3 linked regions of the Neodiprion lecontei genome follow. The protein of the gene in region 1 interacts with the protein of each later gene in a biochemical or structural test. Links are inferred from orthologs where the notes say so. Each region holds a gene or a part of one and is shown on either strand. Other genes may lie near its edges.

Region 1 (3,756 bases):
CTTGGTCTCTCGTCTATTAAAGCTGTTTTAACAGCTTCCAGGACTTCCAAGGGCTGAACACCAGGCAGCTTCAGAGTCCTCTCGATAAATAGAGGATCGGAGATGTGCTGAGCTGCGCTCTCCGCAGCCTGTTTGAATAGTCCTTCGAAGGTGTCTCTGGCCCACTGCAAAGTGTGTTCAATGGCATTCGGAAAATTCTTTAAAGTACAAATTGGGATGCTCTTCTCCGGAGGGTCTTGAGACGAACTGTAAGACTCCGTTAGGAACGGCACAACAACTTGAGTGTTTCCCTTGGTTCCCAGGGTTCCGGATTCAAGCAGTGGTTTTCGGTAATACACACATCTTCGGTCCATGTAAATTCTGGCATCCACATTGTCCAAGGCATTGGCGACTCCATCGAGTACTTCAAAGAACTCGTCGTTGTAAGTTTTCTCAGTCTCTGGTCCAACTCTATTCTCGTGGGCAATCACCTTCATGTTAGGATTCATGCCTTTAATTACTCGTGCAGCGGTAGAAGCCTTGGATCTTTGAACGTCCGTAGGTCTGAACAAAAATTGTCTATTCAAGTTGGATTTTTCAATTAAGTCCATATCAGTCACGGTGACGCAGCCATTTTCCGCACCAACACCCATCATGGCAAAATTCTTTAGCAATTCACAGCCAATTGCGCCAGCTCCAACGACAAAGTACTTGAGCGCCCCAATTTTCGATTGGAATTTTCTCCCAAACACGGCAACTTGAGAATCGTAACGAGTCCCGGTTGGACAGGCATCCTCCTCTGATAATTCCGACTTATCAGCGGGCAGGCATTCGATGGCGTCGAAGTAGAGCCACTGGAAAATTGGGGAAAACTTTCCGGAGCAAGCTTTCATGACTTCTTGAGCAACTACACCTCCGATCGTTGCATTCATGGGATTCAAATCTCCGGCGGAAACTTTGGCAAAAGTTTCTAGCAGCTCAACGTTAATCTCAATGTCGTTTCCACCATCTTCCTTCACCGATTTAGCAACAGCTACAAATTCCTGGGCATCTTCTTGATTCCAAGGGCGAGGAAGGCGTCCTTTAGTCTCAATGTATTTGTGCAGTGTGGTAAAGGCAAGATGCAGTTGTTCCGGATAGTCAAACTTGCCAAAATCAGTGATGAGGAACTCCGGCTCCTTCAGAGCCACTTTGAGTGGCTTGAATTCCAATGTTTTTGGCATTTTCACCTGAGTCACAATACCGCCTCTAATGTACTCCGAGTACTTTGTGGTATCTCCGATGCTGAACGTGTACGGGCCGAGCACCTTGATCTTCTTGGGTTCACAGCCGTTGAGCTCCGTGGTGCCTTGGATTTCGGAAAAGGTGACGTAATCTCCATCCTCCATGCCGTGCCTGCTGTCGTCGAGGCAGGTCACAATACCCTCGACGTCCCTGGATATACTGGCTACCATGGCGCTGATCGGAGGTTCACCGTTGGTATCTACGACGGTGAAAGAAGGGCCGAAGTCGCAGAAGACTTGGGAGAACAGACCACGAGTCTCGGCGATGATCAGAGCGATATTATTGGCGTGGGTTATTTCAGATATGCGTAGTTGCTCGGAAAGTGATGTGTTTGTGAGGACAATGACCTTGAAATTTTTAATATATTCCTTGGACAAGGGGCCGGCATAGTGACGAGTCGGGACGTAATTATTCAGCTCGGATAAATGGTAGCTGCAAGCCTCGGCGCGATTCTTTCCAACGTCAGACTCGGTCAGGTAAAACTGAGAGCCGAGGTCGGTTATTTGACAGACGGTGTCGTCGTGCAAGGTCACGGACTTTACGCCGCCGAGGATAACATTCTTCGCAATTTCTACACCCAGGCCGCCGAGGCCCGATATCAGAACGTCCGAAGACGCCATTCGGCGCATGGCATCGTGCCCGAGGACGTACAGCTGACGGGAGTAAAGTCCCTCGTCGATTTCGGCCGGTGCGCGGGAAGTCGAGCCATTTTTCGCCATCTCTACGATCGCCGTGGGGTTCTCGGCTCCTCCCGTAGTCGCAGCAGCAACGCGTCGCTTCTTGGCTGGGGGGTCAACGGAGCTCTCCACCACCTCAGCACTAGACATCGGACTTCAAGGAAGCAGTTTTATATATCTGTCGATTGTTTTCCTCGTCCGCTTGCACTGATAAGCCCTACGCTTCACGCGCAACACGTCTCCTCTCCTCTCCTCTCTACGACGTCCTTCCGCACCACCCTCTCTTCGCTCTTCCCTCTTCCAGCCCTTTCCCTCGTTCGCCGCGTTGATTTCTTTCCTCGATCGACAACGTGCACGATTGTATTTCGATTTACCTGCTTCACGTTAAGACAAAGACTATTCGTCACTAGGATTGGGGTCTCTAGCCCTGACGCACGCACAAGATGAACAACCAACCATACAGGAATGATTTCTCGTTCTTTCTTCGCTCCTCGGCCGCCGATTCACCCACTGCCTTCTCGATATCGAGTTATCGCAACCCTGCAGTCTGGACAAAAGTAGAACAGGTGATTCCATCTTCGTCCGTAACTACACGAACGAAATTTTGATTCGTCATTCTAAGTGACTACTGCGCCGTCTTACCAAACTTGAACCGTACCGTCAACTTTTACAGTAAATTCCTCCGTCAACGACTACGTTCAACTGAAGATAGACGGAGAATGCTAGCGCAGAGTTATTTCTCGTAATAATTTATCGGGTCTGATAGAGTTTGGGGTCAATTCTAGTGGCCTGTACTTACCGACCCGTCTTGTGGGATCCGATGTAGAGTCGGTATAGCAGAATGCTGCTATTTTTTCCAACGCCCTTCAGCTCATCGTGCACGCACGCTAAAGTCCGCAGGACTAGCAATTTTTATACACCTCGTCAACGGCGAGCGTACCTACGGACTTCCAGAGATTAAATCACTGATTTGAAATTTAATACATAAATCAATAGGATATTTTCAACTTTAGGATTTCTGTTATGATTCGGACCCCAATTCGCACAACTGCGAGTATGGCAGATGCTTCATATTTCTGCCAGTTTTTATTCGTTCTCAATATAAGTAATGTCAAGTGACTGCTCGTCGACTGACAAATATACAACGACTCGAGATATGGCGAACGTTTTTTTTTCAAATTTTTTATTTATTCGCCCCTTTTCAAATACTTAACGGTAGAGTTGCGGAACAATCACATAACCATGACGAATCGGTAGATCAATGCCTTTGAAACAACGAGTCGACCGTCTATTAACATACTGTTGTACGGACGAACTTGCCGCCATTCAATTTGAATTGCTGTTCTCTGAGGAAGCTGCCTTCTTATTTGCTCTACTGTTTAGTAAAATGAAAATTATAAAAAATACAAGATTCTGAGTAATATACGGTGCGGAGTAAAGAAAACTGACGACAACCACAATATTTCACAACAAACCTTCTGCATTTTAATTACGTATGTAAGCCACACCTACACTGTATTATAAATACCGCACTCCATTATCAACGATTCAATCTTTTACAATAATTAGTCAACTACCGGGTTAGCTTTACATTTACGTTCTTCAAAACGTAAGAAATTAGAGGTAAATGGTCTGCTATACCATTTCCTTAATTATTTCATCGGTTTACAGCACACCACAAATACGTACTTCTGCACACAGGGTAAAAATATCTCTTGTTGCAAAACACACTGTTTGAGAATTATGGTATAATCAATATACTCTCTCACTATGTTATATTCAGTTATCTAATATGTGGGTAAATGACGCTAAAATA
Region 2 (3,756 bases), about 29 Mb from region 1:
GTAGTAGTAGTAGTAGTAGAAGTAGTAGTAGTAGTAGTAGTAGTAGTCTATGAAAATGCTAGCCAGTACCAAATACTAGTAAAAATTCCAACTGACGATTATCTCTATGTTGTTATATGGTAAAATCACGTAGTGAGTATTATTATATTCCACATCTGTGAGAGCTCAACCAGTCAGTTAATATACAGCAGCTCTGCCATTCTCCTAAAAACTCGTATCACATATATGAAGAGTCGATCTATGGATTCTACCTTCTCACACGTCACTAGAAGCGTAGTTCAAAATAACGACTCTGTGAATCGTCGAGATAAAAACATTTTTCTTTCAGATAAAAAAAAGCGTAAAGAACCGATGTCTTTTTTCGAGTATTTGTGTGAATTTGCAACTCTATTGCTCTGATTTTCACCGCCGTTATTCAATTTGGATACATAATCAAGAGAGTAAAAAAATTAAACAAACGGTAATAAAATGGAAATAAATTTAAACGTCGAAACTGTGTGAATAATATCGAAAATAGAAAATGCAGTCTGTCATTTTAATTATAATACGTATAATTTTATTAGAAAAAACCTTTTATTCTTTCAAATAGCAAAATTTTCGACAGAGGTGCAGCAGTAGCAGCAGCAGCAGCAGTAGCGGCAGCGACAACAGCATCAGTGGCAACAGCAGGGGACTGAGATAGTATGTTAGTCTGGTGGAGGAAGGTGACAGGGTGGTGGTGCAATTTGTTCGAGGTCTAGGAGGAACAAGGTGGTAACGGGAACAAGGATCGTAAGATGGGGACGATGAGGCATTGGTGTTTTTGCCATGCGCCATGCGTGCGAGAGGAAGGCTCCGATAACGGACCAGGCTGAGATCAGTTGTCCATGGCGTATCTACGGGTCCATTCTTTGGCATTGCGTATCGCTTCACCTTCGTTAATCTTCCACAATTCGGCGACATCGTTTGCTAATGGATCATCAGGGTTTGGTGCACTCAAGAGAGCCTGTATTGATAGCAGTACTGTCCTTATCTGAAGAGCAGGACTCCATTTGTCCTTCAATATATCCAGGCAGATTCTGCCCAATCTGGTAACATGAAACCAAATACAATCAAATGTTTTAGTTATCAGTTCAGCTTTTTCAACAGTTTACATTGTAGAATACATTATAATAGTAGATGTAGCATACCTGTCTATATTGGGATGATATATTTTAGTAATAAATCTAACTTTAGGGGCTGACATAGGGTAATCCTCTGGTAAAAATAATTCTAGTTTAAACAGTCCGCCTTCGAACGGTGAGTCTTCGGGACCTGTTACAATGACGTGAAAGTATCTAGCGTTTGCATCGTCTGGTACAGCGCTGATGCCAGGGACCGGCTCCTGCATCAATCTCTGCGTCTCTTTTATTATACGGCGTGGTAGGTCCGCCATTATTAATCTGTAAGAAAAACGATCGACGACAATATGAAATCAGTGTCAGACAAAGTCAGCGAACTAAGGAGCGAAGAATAAACAGGCAGTCAATAACCTTACAGCAAAAGCAAAATGCAAAGTACATATATGTCAAGCCAAAAGTCTACAGCAATGATACGTACATATACAAATAGTTATCACGAATTTGTGTTATCAACTTTTCATTCTCTGATCAAAAAATCAAACGAGACATAATAGGAGTAAAAATGGAAGGAAAAAAGTACGGCAATCTCTCGCGAAAGCGGGATGACGGCACTTATATTCGAGTAAACAAAGGCGTATATCATTGGGCGGCGAGTAATTTCGACATTAGATCGAAGCCGTTGATCGTGCTGTGGCAAGCGATGGGTGTTTGCATTGCGGAACAGTAACTGTAACAATGTACGTACATTTTGGTTTAAAAAAATGTGCCCGCGTCACCCCGAAGGTCTGGCAGTATGCGTACTCCGTCACTGTTACTGGGGGTATTCGTGATCGCCTGCCAGCTCTCGCAAGATCCTCGGTGGTGGTGTACTACTTCCAGTTAGCGGTTTAATCGTGTATTATATTTTCTATTCTCGTTCGCCGATATCTAGCGAGGCTCTTCACCTTTTGGTTAAGTACAAATTAGGTTAACACGAGCCGGATAGTGAAATTAGAATTTTAGATAATCTACTAGTACCTAGGCTTTGATTTCTATTATGAAAAGAAAACTAATTTAATTTTTTAACACGATCAAGTGTGTGTATCCACAGCTAGGTTCTGTGTTTCTTGCAATTTCGATAGTTAACTTCCTCATACGCAGGTGGCGACAGTGGAGCGGAACGGGAATGGTGGATGATATTATTCAGTCTCGCCAATTTCGTCACGGATTGTAATTTCATTCGCTTGCTTTAGGCAAATGCGATAGTCAGGTTAACCTTAATCATCGACAAAAATTGACCAGCATATTATGAGCTATTACATTCACTTGTGCAACTTTTTTATGAATTGGATCGTAAAATAAAAATTTACCCTTGACGCCACAAATCAAGGGCATCCCAACACATGCGGCCGGTCCGGAACTTCAGCGTGTCTGGATTTTCATGGACAGCAGAATGCTGTCGCAGAAGCGCTACCTAGAATGCGTTCCGAAATTATCTGGCAGCGCCAAAAACTCTCTAGTACAGAGGCAGCGCTATACCCAAAATTGGCAGCGCAAAAGAGATGAAGGATTGTTGACACACAGGCTGCTATCGGAGCGCACCCCTACAGTGCCGCAAAACGGATTGTAGAGTAACCTGATCTGAAGCGTTATCTAGACCAGTCAGAAGGCAGCTTTAAACGGAAAATCTTCTTTTAACAAGTGCAAAATAAGTCAGAATCAGGCCCCTGCTTTATTGACATTCCTATTTGTCGAAAACTCGGTCGCGAAATAATATTGTATATTGCTACCCGTGAAAATCTAGGCTAAGGTCTCTCGTCTCCATGAGCTTAGACTTCGAAAGCGAGCGCGTCGACTTGGAACGTTGACTTATGGTATAGCCAAGATACAACGTAACGTGCATCAACGAGAGAGTTGTCAACGTTGAAAATACACGTAAAATTTGTAATGTTTGTTTACTATTATTCTTATACGACTCCTCTAATTTCAATTAATTTGAATTAGTAATACCGATCAAGCTTGCCGCTCGTGTCAAGCCAATGTCGTCAGGTAGGTAAGTTAAATCCCTTTCTGTTCTACGGAGCGTGACTCTGTCGACAACGATTAACAGAAGAGCACAGACCTGTCATCATTATCGTTTCAAAAGTCAAATGCGTCAGGAGCACGGAGACGTCATGTCATTGTTTCAAGCGTGTCCTCGCGTCTCGTTAACCCGTCGTTATAAATAAATAAAACGTATCACCGATCTATTTCGATTAAACGGAGCGTCAGAATTTATCTTTCTGGTATGTATCTGCTCCTTTCTATGGATGAAATGTATGTGCACACATGTATCGTATTATCAACATCGCAATGTTTACATACAAATTTACGTGAAACTTCATCACGGACGTCTGCCTCGTTCACACGCAGTTAATTATAATAATATTATCAGCCGTTAATACCGATTTTATCAAAGAATCAAGATCGCGATGCCTTTTGTTATCATTTGTTTACCAGCATGACCGAATTAATTTAACAAATGATAAGAATTCGTCAATCGGTGATTCAGCTTGATATAGGTATCTATTGTTTTCGCTGATCGCCTACCTAACCTGTAAAAATGATCGAAATATACTTGCAAATTTCAAGACGAGCCCCCAATTCTCATCTTTTGACAGCACTAAAATTGCTATTA
Region 3 (3,756 bases), on another chromosome or scaffold:
CACTATCGTCTGTTGGCATAGAAATAGAATATATTACACATATAATATATATTACCACGACAAGTCAAGCTGATGTCTGCAACTGTATGAGTGCAAGGATATTCATGTTTTGTTCCAATTATCCAGACATTATTTTTAATATGGTAGCTTTTTAAACATCCATGACAATTTTAATACTTGAAAATAATGATAAAATTTCAAGCCATGTGATTTCCAAATATATTTTATTTGTGCAGTGTACGAACGTACCGTGATACCACCATTTCGTTTTCTTTGGATTCTTATTACATGTCTTCACATAAAAGGAATTATCAGGTGGCCTTTTCTGCGAACCAAAAATAAAAAAACAATTAGAATTGGAAAGATTCACCCATAGCATAAAATTGCTCAATACTCAATAATAACTTCAAATATTCAAAAGAAGGAATTGAAGATTGTGGTAAATTTTTCTTTTGTATAAAATAATGAATATTACTGGAAGCTTGAACATCTTTCAATGTTCTGCTTTTTTGTTGACAGATCATTCCTACTAATGATGAACAAAACTTAGATCCAAACTTTCGAACTATAACTCAGAAGAGTTGATGAACTAAGATCTTCATTATTTCATTTTCACAGTTAAATGTATTCTTCATAAACTGAACAAGTCAACTGAGGAAACCAGGTATTTGAAACGCTTTGAACAACTCAATGAGTCAATTAAGATAGCGAGGAACGAATATAAAACAAAAGAAAAATCATACAAGAAAAAAAAACCACATAAAAAATATTAGAGCATTACCTTTTCTTTGCAACTGCTCAGCATAGAAACTATACTTAAACAGACGCTTTGGACACTCAGAGCAGGTGACCAATCATCAGTCAGTATAGACAGACAGATATGACCATTGCTGTAGACATGTGGATGAACAGGGATGTTGCCTCCAATAAATGTGACTTCAGGTGAATCAAATGGGTACTTGGAACTGAACTTAAATTGCAACTGAAATCTTTCACCCTCGTATAGCGTCCCCTTTGCTCCTTCCATATGGATTATCCATTGTGTCAGATTCTGGCCAGCTTGATCACCATCTACGTGAACACCAGGAGGTGGTTCACGCATCAATGACATCAACTCCTTTTGTAATCTCCGCTGAAATCCAGTAAAATTTATTCTTTGTCAGATAAAGTAATTCAAATGAGGGTCAAGAATAACTAACAGAATTTGGAGACTATACCACAGAATCTGCTGAGAGTAAAACCCACGGGTAATTAACTAGTTATATTTTGAATGCTGTTGTAGATAACCTAGTAAAATATCAAAGTATCTATGTACCATAATATTAATAAAATTTATCACAGAGAACTGCCTCGGAATGAAGTTCTTGGAACAGTAGGTAAGCAATTATCAAATAACTTATCAAAATTGACTATATTCTACATTAGCAAGTTTTAATCAAATTTCTTTGTCTTCATTTAGCAACTTGTGAATTCTTTGATTTTTTCCTATTCTACCGATTTCCCAGGTTTGTGACAACCTTGGCAAATACATTGATATATTCGATTATTTGTGAACTAGTGGCGGTTGTACAATAATTTAAAGTAAAAATTTCTATCTTGCATTTTTCTGTAGCAGAAGCGATATATAAAATCTAGGACATCTGTCACAAATGAACAAATGTGCTTGGACCACATTAAATTTAATAATTATAATAATCCAGTTTTCGAAGTGTCAAACATAATCCAGTCTTGTACATTATAGACCAGCCATAATTTTTCATTTTATAAGACTATTTTGCTTGCGTTTGTGAGTCATAAGGTGGGATAAAAATATGTTATCACTTTCAGTTAAGCATAGAAATTCATTGTTCAGAATTATCATGAGTCACATACGTCAAAAGATTTAATACAAATTGCATTGGCACGTGACTAAGCGACGAAAACTAAAATTGACAAATGGAATAAATAAATAGAGTAAAACGTCACATTGGCCCAAGAGGACAATGCACTCACGTAGTTATTGGACTAGATACCCAATCGATACACTTTGGTATCTCAATTTTAGCTACCCAGTAAAATAAAATTTGCACACTACTTAGAAGCGTAGTAGCAGTCAGAATAATCTGACATTCACCTGCATTTCGCAAAAAATTTAACACCGACTCACCTCGGACGGGGACATTGCCGCCATTATTGTTAAACAGCACTTGAAACATAACCATTCATGGTATCGGAAAATTATGAACTTTAACGACGATTGTTTGGTATCTGAACGGTAAGAGGTGATGAATATTTGCAGCTATAAAATCGCATTATATCAACTTTATTCCAGATACATTGGTAGCGCCTAATTTGGAAACAAGTTTGTTAATTTGACAGTAATCCAAACTGACACTAAAGACAAGCAGCACCAGGCCACAGCAGACAGACCTCTGACCACACAATCCATGCTAGAAATAGTAACGTCAGAGATGCCCGCATAAAATTTTGACGACTGTAATTACCAACAGGTGTGTCAATTATTCCCGCTAGAGGCGCAGCGTCGGACTACTCATTATTACCATATTATTATCCATGAGTTTTCTACTCGTTCCAATCTCTCTATATAGTTCGTGATTGTTAATTGTGACTTACCCGCCAAAAAGTATGGCGAGGCAAATGTAAAGATATGTGTCAGCAAATTCATATTGGTTTTTAAGTAATCATTTTTGACAGAAATCCACCGTAGTGATAAGTGCAACGTGTGCTGCATCAAATATATTGATATATTTAATACATAATAATGTCCACCTGAATATACAACTTCCTTGACGTTTTTTATAGATTCATAGATTTCTGTTCTAACCAACTATTGTCTGGCAATACACCAAAGGTAAAAGAAGAATGATATTAATTATCTACCAAGTCTAAGAATACAATAGATATAACAGTGAATTTTATTTCAATGAATTTTTTGCTTTTTTATTTAGGTAGAAAACCTGTTTGACCATGGCTAGTGACAATGATTCCGACGTTGGAGATTTGCTAGAAGATCTGCTAGCAAATGATGAAACAGAAGATGCAGATGCATCCATTCAAAAATCAAAGCCAACAGAATCAAGCCTCAACTTTTTAGAACAAGAAACTAATATTCCTAGTCCTCATAGATATTCTACACTCGGTAAAAAAACTATGATTCACAATGGTGATACGGATTCATCTGATGATGAAGATAAACGTGATTTTGAAAATCAAAATTACTCCAGCTCAGGTCGAGAGATAAAGAACATTTTAAAGAGTAATGCATCCGAAACAAACACCTCTTATCCAAAAACATTTAAAAATACATCCGGATCTTTCACTAAAAATCACAGTACTGAGTTATGCTGTCCACCTGACTCCACCAAGACTGAATCAAAAGACATATACTGCGACCCAATATTTGGGTTAAGAATTATAAATCCTGTTGTGTCTTCAGCCTCTCTAAAGGAAAGAATGACAGGTAGAACACCAGTCACAGTTTCTAGAATCAAATATCACTTGAACACTGCAGATCTCCAAACTGACTGGGTAATTGCCGGAGTACTTATCAACAAATCTGGTACACGCAGTTCACAAAAAGGAAACCAGTACTGTATCTGGAAGATAAGTGACCTGTCTGATGGTATTAAAACCGTATCTTTATTTTTATTTGGTGATGCCTACAAATCATTTTGGAAAACTAATACTGGCATGGTGATTGGAGTTTTGAACCCAGGAGTACTGGATAACAAAGATGAAAATATAAATGAGGCAGCC

Evidence for each region.
Region 2: of the proteins of ubiquitin-like modifier-activating enzyme 1 (region 1) and ubiquitin-conjugating enzyme E2 N, one has a biochemical effect on the other in vitro, tested with the Homo sapiens proteins (10 studies listed by BioGRID, with this or other methods). The link is inferred for Neodiprion lecontei from reciprocal best matches to the Homo sapiens genes UBA1 and UBE2N.
Region 3: of the proteins of ubiquitin-like modifier-activating enzyme 1 (region 1) and ubiquitin-conjugating enzyme E2 W, one has a biochemical effect on the other in vitro, tested with the Homo sapiens proteins (5 studies listed by BioGRID, with this or other methods). The link is inferred for Neodiprion lecontei from reciprocal best matches to the Homo sapiens genes UBA1 and UBE2W.

The regions. Positions count from the first base shown.
Region 1 is NC_060264.1:984,717-988,472, reverse strand, and holds the start of ubiquitin-like modifier-activating enzyme 1, read right to left. Parts: upstream 2,629-3,756; 5' UTR 2,091-2,628; coding exon 1-2,090. UniProt on the Homo sapiens protein: Catalyzes the first step in ubiquitin conjugation to mark cellular proteins for degradation through the ubiquitin-proteasome system.
Region 2 is NC_060264.1:30,171,057-30,174,812, forward strand, and holds ubiquitin-conjugating enzyme E2 N, read right to left. Parts: upstream 2,498-3,756; 5' UTR 2,485-2,497; coding exon 2,450-2,484; intron 2,378-2,449; exon of another isoform or gene 1,846-2,377; intron 1,806-1,845; exon of another isoform or gene 1,579-1,805; intron 1,422-1,578; coding exon 1,170-1,421; intron 1,068-1,169; coding exon 857-1,067; 3' UTR 555-856; downstream 1-554. UniProt on the Homo sapiens protein: The UBE2V1-UBE2N and UBE2V2-UBE2N heterodimers catalyze the synthesis of non-canonical 'Lys-63'-linked polyubiquitin chains. This type of polyubiquitination does not lead to protein degradation by the proteasome.
Region 3 is NC_060265.1:21,205,103-21,208,858, forward strand, and holds the start of ubiquitin-conjugating enzyme E2 W, read right to left. Parts: upstream 2,395-3,756; 5' UTR 2,171-2,394; coding exon 2,147-2,170; intron 1,133-2,146; coding exon 782-1,132; intron 326-781; coding exon 250-325; intron 10-249; coding exon 1-9. Other genes in the region: protein MCM10 homolog, read left to right, coding at 2,968-3,756. UniProt on the Homo sapiens protein: Accepts ubiquitin from the E1 complex and catalyzes its covalent attachment to other proteins.